Linked DNA regions of Pelodiscus sinensis. The protein of the gene in region 2 interacts with the protein of the main gene of each other region in a pairwise test. Links are inferred from orthologs where the notes say so. Each region holds a gene or a part of one and is shown on either strand. Other genes may lie near its edges. The genes, in order: SHMT2, ARL6IP1 and SNX15.

Region 1 (3,745 bases), on a different chromosome or scaffold from region 2:
GCACCGAGTCCTGCCCCTCTGCGTGCGACCCTTGAAAAACCCAGCAAGTGTCCCACTTGGCACAGTGGGGGAGTGGAGTCCAGTGGTTAGAGCAGCGAACCAGCCAACAGATTTCCTGGGTTCTAGTCCCCGATCTGCTCTGGAGGGCCGGGTGCATTTTTTAAGGGGGAATCGTCTTGGCTTGGACCTTGGGCACTAGGGTGCTGGATTTGGTGGGGGTGGAGGGCAGCATTCTCTGTCTCTTGTGTCTAAATAAGCTACACACCCTTTAACAGAGACCGGCCTTTCCCCGGCCTACCCACCTTTGCACCTCGACGTGCTTTGTACATATCACAACATCCTGTGATCAGCCCGCCCCCCGCCCACCGCTGAAATGCAGCCACCTCTGGAGTGGGCTGTGACAGCTGGTTAATAACCACCCAGCAGAGCTGCACAGAGATCCTTCACCCAGCCCTGAAAGGCAGCCACCTCTGGGGATGGGCGCTGTAGCTGGTTAGCAGTCTCACCGCAGTGGGATGGGTCACCCAGTTGGAGAATGCAGCTCCCTCTGGGGTGGAGCCCAGCAGTGGTTTAACGCCACACAGCAATGCTCTAGGAAGATTTTGAGGCAGAGGAACAGCACGCCGAGCGGACAACACGGAGCAACAGAAAGCAGCCTCCTTGCTGAACGTGTTCTCAGCTCTGTCATAGCTGCAAGCAGTCAGGGTGGCATTGTCTGCTCACTAGGGCACGCTGCCTCACTGAGCCCTGTGGACTAGGGGTGCCATGGGCTGCCCGCAGCATTTCTGCCCAACCTCTGCCAACACCCAGCAGCACCGCTGCAGGTTCTGCACCCCCTTTGCTGCCAGAGCCCTGCTGCCGTGGCTAGTGGATCCCACCAGCTCCCTATGAGCTGCCAGGTATCCAAGTGGAAGAGCGGTGTGTGTCGGAGTCTGCATGGAGGGGGGCAGTCCCTTGGATGCTGCATCACTGGAGGCCAGGCTGCGGCGATATCTGGGCCCAGAATCCCTGGGCTTGCCAACCTCTGGTCCTGGTTCAGACCTCCCTTCTAAGGGTAGGGCCTGTCTCTCACTGTGTCTCTGTGCACAGCAGCCCCTGTCCTCCCTGTGTGCACTCCCTTCATAACCAATCATCAAAACAACTGGGTGCAGGCGTGAGTGTTAATCCACCCCAGAGGTGGCTGCATTTCAGCCCTTGGTGAGTGACCCCCCGCCCAGGCTGTTAATCTGCTGCTGTGCTCATCCCCAGAGGTGGCTGCATTTCAGCCCTTGGTGAGTGACCCCCCCAGGCTGTTAATCTGCTGCTGTGCTCATCCCCAGAGGTGGCTGGAAGCCTCACTGGTGAGCAAGTCAGGCTGGAAGGCAAAGCCCCGGCCTGCGCCCTGTTCCCGTCAGTCACGCTGCGGCGGGTTTCCCGTTGTTTGCAAACATGCATATCAACTTATTAACCACTTTGCATAAACTATCAGGGGGGCGGAGCTCAGCCGCCGGGCCTAGGGAACTACATCCCCCAGCGTGCACCGGGAGTGGCGTCGGCGTCACGTGTTTCTTTCCCAGCGCGCGCGGGCCCCTTCTCCAGGCGAGCAGCGCCGGGGATCAGCTGTACCTGCCACCTGCAGCATGTTCCCGCGATGGGGCCGCCTGGCCGGGGTGAGCTCGTGCTGGGGAAGCGGGGGGATCCTGCTTGGGGGGGGGTGACTTTTGTTTTGCAAAGTAGCTTTACTGCCCCCCCAGGCCCACATGCGCCCCCCCATTTCAAACCACGTGCCCTGGTCGGGTCCCATACAAAGCCCCCTGCAAATAAGGGGGTGCTCCCCACTCTCTCTGCCCGCAGAGTCCTGGCCTTGGGGTTCATGGCCTTGTGCGTCCCGATGCTCTGTGGGAATCGCTGGTTCCTGGAGGGGGTCGGGGGGAGCTCACTGATAAGTGGGTCCCCTACTTGGCTCTCCTGCACGGTGTGTGCGTGCACCCGGCACTGCCAGCTGTGTGCATGGGGGGCAGCGCTCTGCCCGCCAGGACCCTGCTCCCCCAGACTGCCCTGCTGGCTTGCCTGGCTCTCAGACCTATGCCCCCTGCGGCCCGTTATCCCTCCTGGGCGCCGCACCAGTGTGTGCTTGGCACGAGTCCCGCTGGTCTCTGTCCCATCCCTCACCCTTCGATCTGAGTCAACAGCCCAGGGACCTCTGGCCTCCCCCGCCTAGGATGGGGGGAGGAGAACGAGAGAGACTAGGGGGGAAAGTGATGGGTTCCCCCCTCCCCCGACCCTTGCCAGAAGCTTAGTTCTACGGAGTTGGTACCAGCTCCCTGGTCCCGCAGAGGCAGAAGCTGCCCCCCCCCCCCCCTTTCCTGGCTTAAAACTTTCAGAAGTTTCTTTCACTGTGGCTTATTGTTTGGAGAAACTTGGCACATGGCTGGACTTTCACTGCTGCTGATGCAAGGATGGGTCCTCCTTGCATCATGGGTAGCCTGGCCGGGAGGCCTGGCTTTTGTGGCACAAGGGATGCAGCTGCGTTCAGAGCGGGCCGGGCAGCCCCACACCTGTCTGGGAACCAGGAGCAATCAGACAGCGACAGGGGAAGGGCGCCACGCAGGGCGTATTGCGTGGAATGTAAACTACTACAAAGTAAAGAGAGGTGGCTTGTTTTTAAGATTGGGCAGGGTAAGGAGCCGGCTTGGCTCATGTGAACGCAGGGGACTAAACGGAATATTTTTCTTTAGCCTAGTGAAGTTTGGAAGCTGGCTTACGTCAGTGTTCACTCGCAGGCCGGTACCCGAGAGCTGGGAACTCTGACACGCCATTGCTTTCGAATCTGGGCCCCAAACGTGGCTTTCCCCAAACTCTGGTCTCCTGCCACGCTGGGCCCAGGCAGCAAACGAGATTTTGGAAACCAGAGCTTGTCTTTCCAGCATGGGGACTACCCCGGCAGCAAACCGCTCCCTGGTGGGGTCTGTCCCGTTGGGGCTCAGAGAGACGTCCTCTTTTCCTTGGCTGCGTGGTCTGCCACGGCCGTGGGCTGTGTTGTGCGGGCGTCTGGGTTCCAGCCCCAGGACCCCGTACAAACACAGAGTGGAAACTCTGGCAGAGCTGATCCACTTGGCCGTAGCGGAGATACACACAAGGAGGGAGTGAGCTAGAGTCCCCCAAACAAGGGAGCGGAGAGGGTAGGGTTTGCACAGTGCCGGGTGAGTGGCAGAGTGGCACGGACATGTCTCTGCATGCCACGGCCATGCACGGCTCGGTGTGCTCTCCAGGGCACCTCTGTCTACACACCTCCCCACCCCACCCCAGTTCCATGGGGATCAACGCCCCAGCACAGGCCTCTTCTGTCCCCAGAGAGCTCCTGGCTGGCCCCTTGCAGTAGGAGTCTGAGGATCTGCTGCTGGGGTGTGCACCAGCAGCGAGGGGTGCTGTCTCCCAGCACCGTTTCAGGGGGAGTTTAGACACGTGCCCAGGGGAAAAGGGGGGCGGGGGAGCAAGCCCAGGGTGCAAACCAGCCTGGTGTGTCAATGAGGAGACGGCTGCACTGTGGAGGGGTGCTCGGGGGGCAGTGTGTGGTGGGGAGAGGACCCTGGATGGAAGCTGGGGGGGTAGAAGTCTGTCTCCTGGCACTTAGTGATCCCTGACACGTGTGTGAAACATGGCAGGAAGTGGGTGTGTGAGGGAGGATGGATTCTAGCCCCACCCCCTTCCTCCGCATCCTGTGCACGCTGGCGTGCTCCCCATCCTGCCATGCCTGAGCCCGTGC
Region 2 (3,745 bases):
TCAGGGAGTGAGTTTGGGTATTGGAGGGACTCTGGGCTGTGGCAGGGGGTTAGGTGTGGGATGGGTGCAGGGTCCCAGCACCACTTGGGACACTAATGACAAATCAGTCATTTTGGAGGCAGGGATGCAGGTCAAAGGCTCAAAACAAAGGGCACGCTGAGCAGAGAACCTCAGACCGTGCCCACTGCTCCTCAGAACTGCCTAGGAGCCAGCAGACTCTGTTAAGAGGATCTCTGCCAAGATACGTGCAATCAGGGAGGAGTGGAAATAGGCCCCATAGTTGCAGAGCATGCCCTCGTCCAGCAGCCACCTCCTCGTGTGATAGATGGGGGCCTAGGCCAGAGCCAGGCCCAAGGAGGTTGGGGTGTGTATAAACAGAGATGCAGGGACAAGGGCAGCCAGACGCTCAGCAGGAGGTTCTGGGGGAGCTGGAACAGGCGCTGCAAGCTGGCGCTCTCGAGGCAGGCGTGTACCAAGGTCTCTGCTGCGGCAAGGTCAGGAATGGGGGTGAACCACACAAGGTACACGCCTGCGTGAGGCTCTGGGAAGGAGCCGCCAACCCGTGTCCCCCAGGGGCCCTGGGATCAGCAGGGTAGCAGCTGACCGGATGTTTAATGGCCCAGGCTGCCATGCCTGGATGGAAAACCTGTCAGCTGTGAATGGGGGAGCCCATAGCTGTGGGCGCTGATGGTGTCATTCCCGCACCCACCGCTGGGAAACGGAGGCAGCTCTGAGAGCTTCTCATCGCCCCCCAAAGGAGAAAGCCCCGCCCCCATTTTCCCTTCTGCAAAAGCTGTACGCTGACGTCACAGGCCCAGCGACCAGTTAACGGCTCTCGGCTGAATCTGATTGGCCGTTGCCTGTGTTCAAACAACAACGGCAGCAGGCTCCCGTAGCCGTTGGGCGAGGAGGGGGCTCTGCGATTGGCCTGACCCAGCCCTTAATTCGGCCAATCAAATTGGCGGGCACCGCGTTGCGGTGGGACCAGCAGTTTCCCCCGCCCCTTCCAGAAGCCGAGTCTATAAGGCTGCGGGCAGGCGGCCGGGCGGCTGCTGCGCTGTGTGAGGGCTGCGGCGAAGGGCTGGGCGCAGCACACGACTAGACGCAGTCGCCGCAGCTGCAGCGTACAAAATGGCTGAGGGAGACAACAGGAGCGCCAACCAGCTGGTGAGCGGGTGTTGCGGGCGGGCGGCCAGCCGGTGGCGGGGACGTGAGCGTCTGCGGCCCTGTGCGCCAGCATCTAATCGCCGGGGAGGGACCGAGGGAGTCACTGCGGCTGCGTCTCCTTCTCCCCACCCCCATTACCTACACGCGTCTTTAGCGCGCCCAGCCAGCCGGGCGCTGCGAGCACCGAAAATTGACCCCCTCCAGCCTCCCGTAGCGAAGGGGTCCCGTAGCCAATCCTGCCCCTTTCGCCCGCTTCCGGGAGGCGGGGCCTGCCCTGTGGGCCTGTGGCAGGGAGACATCTGCCCCCGGCACACTGGGTCAGGAGGGGTTGGGCAGCCGCAGGCCGGGTGGGCCCCCTGTCGGCCCCCACTGCCGCAGTCCCTCGTGGCACCATTGGTCGCTGCACCCGAAGGGCTTCGCCCTCTGACACGCTTGTGGGGTTGGCCACTGCCCGCTAAGAAAGGGGGCTGGGGTTAGCTCGGCTTCCAAACAAACGCCACACGAGGCTTGGGTCATTTGTGCGTGGCCCAGCCCTGGATGCAGTTGTAAAATCAGACCGCTATTTGCGTAATCTGTACTGGGTTGTTTTCTGCTCTTGTCATCTCTCAGCGAGAGCCTAGCGGCCTTTTCTTCGGCCTCTTCCTGTTTCAGCGGATTTCGGTGCGAGGAGCTTTTTGTGAAGTAGACAGCAGAAGGTGCTAGGTAGTTGGTTAGGACAGAAATAAGGGATGGATTTTATATCTATATCTATGGAAGAAGTGAAGACTTGATGGGTGGTGGTACCAGAACAGGGAAAGGATGGATATACTTCCATTCTGTTGAAATTTTAAACCAAACTGAGAAGTAGTTTGGAAATATATTTTCTACCTGTATTTTAAGACTCTTCAATTTACGCTATTTTAAAAATTCCAAATGAACAGCCAATAAATTGAAGGAAGGAAATTATTTCCTTAAAATATAGGAAGAAATAGTGAGACTCACTAGATGTACGTGCTGCCAAATGTCCAAACTAAAATAAAAACCTGGAAAAACCATTTGAATTCACTTCTTAAAAGAGAGCTGAAACAGTAGTCAGATTGAGTGTAACTTCAGTGTACATTCTCATTGCCGAGGTATTCTCTAGTCTTGAAGGCTGGTGGCTTAACCATGAGTCCTGCCACCCTCAGCTGCAGGCCAATATGATTCTTAGCCAGCAGATAGAACAGAAGGTTTATTACTTGACAGGGATACATCTTAGACTAGGGATGTGAAAGTGTAACCGTGTACATGATTACACACAGGCTTCTGGAACATGCAGAGAGCTGATACAGAGGCAGCAGTGAAGGGATGGGGTGGGGAAAGCAGGCTCCTTGCACACACTGACTCCCAGGGATCCAACTGCCACCTCACGTGTAACTGCTGAAAATGTCAGCGGTTAGTTACTTATATGCATTTTAACATCCCTAGGACAGACTTGTCAGCACCTAAACCAGAAGCAGTCAGCACAATCCAGTTGGGGACAGGAGGCTCAGAGCCAAGGCCCCTGTACCCTCAAACCACTGAGACTAACCCATCCACTCGGAAGCCCACCCCCACCCTGCAGTTAGCCCCGCCTTGGCCTTTGTCCAGCTTCCTGGCAAAAGGTGTCACCAGGTTACACCCCCAGCCCTTCGTAGGCTTAGGTTACAGAAAGCATCAGTCATTGTGTGCAAGAAAGAGATACGGAAATTCTCATCACTATCTCTTTTTAGGTATTGGAGCAGTGCCCAGGGAAACTGACACACACACACTAGGGATGTAAGCCACTAATCAAGTCACGCAGCAAAGGTGGGGAGCAGGAGCTGGTGCTGCAAGGAGATAGTTTAAAAGCTGGCTCCCTCCAGCAACATCTCGGGGGGGGGGGGGGGCAGGGCAGGAGAGGCAGAGGCGCAGCGGGGGACCGGGTGCAAGCCAGGACTCAGCTATCCCTGCTTGTACTTGGTCCCATATGCTGGGCCTTTGCCTCTTAAATGTATCAAGAGCCTAGTGGAAATTCCATCGACTACTCAGTTTAGCGGATTAAACGCAATTTAACATCCTTAACACATACACGGTTTATTGTAGGATAGTAGAAATCACATGCGACATAACAGTGGATACAGTTACCACTTTGTCACAGTGTTTAACCCATTTATTATTGTTTATAGAAGAGCAGAGGGTTTTCAAATGCTGTTATAAGGGACCTTATTTAAAGTGATATCCCAAAATCTCTTTTAAAAAATGCTTCATGTACATTTCAGAAAATGCATGGGAAGCAAAATGTGCATGCTGGTTTTGAGCTCTAATAGTGAATAAGACTTTCTAATAATCATACTGGTATGATAAGTTTTGTTTAGTTGTATGCAGTGACAGTGTAGTTAAGTACTGTATGCTGGCACATAGCTCACTGATTTTTATTTATTTTTTTACTAAGCCTAGCTTTCAGCTGCACAATTTGAGTTGCTGAGATCTTATCAGTGAAAGAGACACATGCTTTGGTCTGCTGCAATACGTGCAGCTATGGGGATTGATGAGATAAAAGGGCCAGAGACAAATCATCTCTTCCCCCCCACACCCCCCT
Region 3 (3,745 bases), on a different chromosome or scaffold from region 2:
AGTGGGCCTGATGATGCTACCATGTGTGTGAGCAGCCTGATGCATCAGCAGTGGCCCCAGAGCACCTAGGGCCCTCTCAGCCCACCCAGCCCAGCCCTACTCACATACCCTGAAGAACTCCTTGAGTTGGGGGCTGTTGTTCAGTGCAGGGATGTGCACCGTGAATCTCAGCATGGCCTCAGCTGCTTTCCTGCGCTCCTCGATCACCTCGGGCTCAAAGCGGCCTGCGGGACAGAGCTCCTGTTGCACTGTGATGCAGCACCCATCTAGCCTCTCCAGGCAGACCAGCCACTCCCCCTCTAGCCCTATGGTACATTTCAGTTCTGCCACCCTTAAGCCTGGACATCCCACCACAATTCACTTCATGTGGTATGATCCACTATGCATCCCTTGTCCTGTGAATCTGGTGTGAGCCCCCTGCAGCATGTCCAGCAATGACTGCCTTTCCCCTGTGGGGACATCAGCTCTAATCTGTCCCCAGGGCAGGGGATTGGTTCCAGGTGGCAGGAAATGAGATATGGGACCTTTCCCAGCTCTGATCCAGTCCGAGATCCCAATAAATTAGACTCATTCCCATCTGCAGCTCATTTGGTGACCTGGGTGTGAAGCGTCTTGAAGGGTGGGTCTAACTGCCCCACACCAGCAGTCTCTGGGGGTGGGTTGGGGACTCAGACTGCTGTGTCTGGGTCAGGGGGAGGGGATGGCATCTGGGTATGTGGTAGGGGCAGTAAGAGAGTGCTGAGTCTGTGTGGGGACCTATGGGAAGTTGCAGGGTGCTGGGGGCATGAAAGGGAGCTGTTGGGGAAAGGGAAGAAGGGGACTGTGCAGAAGGCGCTGGATGTGTGGGTAGACATTATGGGATGCTGTGGAGCACTGTGAAGCAGAAAAGGCTATGCGGTAGGGGGGCTGTACTGTGGGGACGAGGGAGCTGACCATGGGGGAGGAATGAGGGAAGCGCTCTCTGCCACTGCTCCTGCTCTGGGAGTAACCAGAAGAGTCTGGCTGTTGAGCCCCCACCTCTCGGGAAGCCACTTACCGAAGACCTGGGCTTTGGGGAAGGCAGGGAACTCCTCCATGCGCCGGAAGAGATTGCGGTGGATGTAGGACAAGTCTCCATGCAGCTTCTTGAAGTCACTGTAACGTTTCCAGATTGTGATCTGAAGGACAAGAGCCCCCCAGGTGCCCCAGTTAACTAGCCACAGACATGCGCTGAGCCCACAGCTTCTACAGTCCCAGGGACCCTCCGCTTTTCCCCCAAACTGCAACCCTTCAGCTCAAACCTCCAAATCCAAATCTATGGACCCAGCTCCTTCCAGATAGAACTTCTACTTCAAACTCCTGGATTTCTGCCTTCCAAAGCCCCTGGAATTTCACCCCCAGATTTCAGTCACACGATCCCTGCCCCCACAACCTTTGCCATAGGACTCAAAGCCCCAAAACTGTCCCCAAAACTCAGCTCTATCAGACCTCAAGTTATGGGACTTTTCCCATCACTGCTGGGCAGCTGTGAGTGTGGGCTAGCCGGTAGTGGGGACCCCCCCCCCCCACACTCTACACTGAGGGATGGCTATGGATTTCATCCCACCCCTTCTTCGCACCCCTCCCCTGCACGAGCCATCAGACGGGTTTAAAACAGTCACCTCCTTGACATCTTCTGGTTTCGTCTTTGAAACAAACTAAGGAGGGAAGAGAGGAGGAGTCAGCAACTTCTGAGCCGGGAGGTGGCAGTGGGGAGGTTCAGGGCAAAGGAAGGGACCAGCAGGGCATGGGGCTATCAGGCTAGGAGGCGGGAAATGTGATGTCCACAGCGCGTGGGATGGGGAGGCAGGACACCCACCGGGGCCAGCCACGGGCGTGGGGGGCATTTAACGGGACGTGCCTTTGACCTGGGACATCCACGTGCCTCGGCACCGTCCCACGTGGGTTTCCCGGGACCCAGGGCTCCCCCTGCAGGACGCTTCCGTCTTAAAAGGGCCACACCTACGACGCCCCAAAACGGAGCCTCGGAGGGGACCACTCGCAACTTCCCACCTCTTAAAGCGGCTACGCAGTGTCCCTCACCCTGGAAAGTATCGGGAACAAGTCCCACCCCGCCTGCACGCGCCGTGCGCCCTCCTTAAGGTGGGCGAGCGAGGCGCCCTCCTTCCATGGGGCATCGGCAGCCCCAGCTGCCCAGGAGGGGCCCTTCACCTTAAAGGGGCCGCGCACAGCTCCCTGGGGAAGGTCCCAGGCGCTGCCCCTCACCTTGGCTGTCACTTTGTACTCAGTGTGGCCCTTGGGGTGGCTCCTCGGCTCCGTGACCGTGTAATAACGCTGGTACTCATCCTTCACCCTGCAGGCCATCTCCCTCCGCACACTGAGGCTGCGGCCCCTTTAAATCTTGAGCCCGCCCCTCTCCAGCCCCTAACAGCCCCAAGCAGCAGTGACCGCCGCCAGGGAGCGTGGGTTTGCCGAACAGCCAGTACGCATGCGTGGCCGGGCCTCCTTGCCCTGTCCCAGCCCAGGGAGCGTGTGTAAAGTACAAAACTGCAGGCGAGCTGAAGAGTGAAGGGCTCCTCTGGAGAGTGAGCCCTTCTTAGAGGCAGGGTAAGCAAGGAGTCAAGCCCAGGTGTACAGGGAGGAAGACTGGAGGGCCAAAGGGTAATTGGGCGGAGGTGAGGTAAAGGGAGCAGGTTACAACTGTGGCTCTCAATCAGTCAAGTCAACCAGTGTTATGCATACCCCTGGGATACACACAGGACTTACAGCGAATACATCAACTCATCTGAATATCTGACAACTTTTACAAGAGGCAGCAGGAAAAACACTAGCTAAGTCAGTACAAGCTAAAATGTCATAAAGCTTGTTTATGCTGCTCTGTATGCTTCACACTGAAATGCAAGTACAGTATTTATAGTCCAGTGGATTTATTTTATGATTATATGGTAAAAATGAAAAGCAAGAAGTTTTTCAGTAATAAATGCAAATGCTGGGACATTTCTGTATTTTATGCCTGATAAAAGATTTACTCAGCGTTGCTTGGGTCCTTAACTCAAATAAGTTTTGTTTTTCTTCTTTTAAATCATTGTTCTGGGGTGGGGCTGGGGATGAGGAATTCAGTATGCAGGCTGCCCTGAGGAGAGTAGACAACCCCAGACCACTCTTACCGTAGCGGTTTGGGGCCAGGTGAGATGCACCTGTCCATGGCTGCTGCAGCTGTAGTGGGCACAGCCATGGTGTGGTGGTGTGCATATCTCCCAGCTGGGGAACAGACAAACACTAAAATATATAAAAGGTGACCCTTTCTCCATCCTTGCTATCTGCTGGCCCAATGCAGTTATAGCTCTCCTAGTCTCCACCTCTGCCCCCCGTCCCCCGTAGTCATTTTGCATTATAACTCCCTCCTGCCAAACCCCACCCTTTCCATTTTATGAGAAAATCAAATCCATGCACACCCCATTATCCTGGCTCAACCCAACCCTGACCTTGCTTTAAGTTATGATAAGAGGAAGCTGCATACCAAATCTGGTGGTTCTAGCGCTTACTGTTCAGGAGGAGGTCTTGAACAAACGGATAGACATTACTAAAATATCTAGTAAGATTTTGTAAGTAAGTAGTTTAAGTGAGTTTAAACTTGGGGTAACAAGACAAATCAGATGTCTGCAAGGGGTCACAAGAGGCTATATGACAACGGAGAAAAATAGAGAATGGGGAGACTGTGCCACCCTTTTACTGCTGATGCACTTCACAAGCAGGCAATAAGGTT

The links.
Region 1: the proteins of ARL6IP1 (region 2) and SHMT2 interact in binary tests that used the Homo sapiens proteins (3 or more experiments, as listed by UniProt). The two-hybrid records come from large-scale screens. The link is inferred for Pelodiscus sinensis from reciprocal best matches to the Homo sapiens genes ARL6IP1 and SHMT2.
Region 3: the proteins of ARL6IP1 (region 2) and SNX15 interact in binary tests that used the Homo sapiens proteins (3 or more experiments, as listed by UniProt). The two-hybrid records come from large-scale screens. The link is inferred for Pelodiscus sinensis from reciprocal best matches to the Homo sapiens genes ARL6IP1 and SNX15.

What each region holds. Positions count from the first base shown.
Region 1 is NC_134729.1:3,133,701-3,137,445, reverse strand, and holds the start of SHMT2 (serine hydroxymethyltransferase, mitochondrial), read left to right. Parts: upstream 1-1,501; 5' UTR 1,502-1,619; coding exon 1,620-1,649; intron 1,650-3,745. UniProt on the Homo sapiens protein: Catalyzes the cleavage of serine to glycine accompanied with the production of 5,10-methylenetetrahydrofolate, an essential intermediate for purine biosynthesis.
Region 2 is NC_134726.1:20,312,700-20,316,444, reverse strand, and holds the start of ARL6IP1 (ADP-ribosylation factor-like protein 6-interacting protein 1), read left to right. Parts: upstream 1-978; 5' UTR 979-1,131; coding exon 1,132-1,167; intron 1,168-3,745. UniProt on the Homo sapiens protein: Positively regulates SLC1A1/EAAC1-mediated glutamate transport by increasing its affinity for glutamate in a PKC activity-dependent manner.
Region 3 is NC_134721.1:34,790,316-34,794,060, forward strand, and holds the start of SNX15 (sorting nexin-15), read right to left. Parts: upstream 2,425-3,745; 5' UTR 2,344-2,424; coding exon 2,245-2,343; intron 2,153-2,244; exon of another isoform or gene 2,032-2,152; intron 1,677-2,031; coding exon 1,641-1,676; intron 1,158-1,640; coding exon 1,037-1,157; intron 225-1,036; coding exon 109-224; intron 1-108. UniProt on the Homo sapiens protein: May be involved in several stages of intracellular trafficking. Overexpression of SNX15 disrupts the normal trafficking of proteins from the plasma membrane to recycling endosomes or the TGN.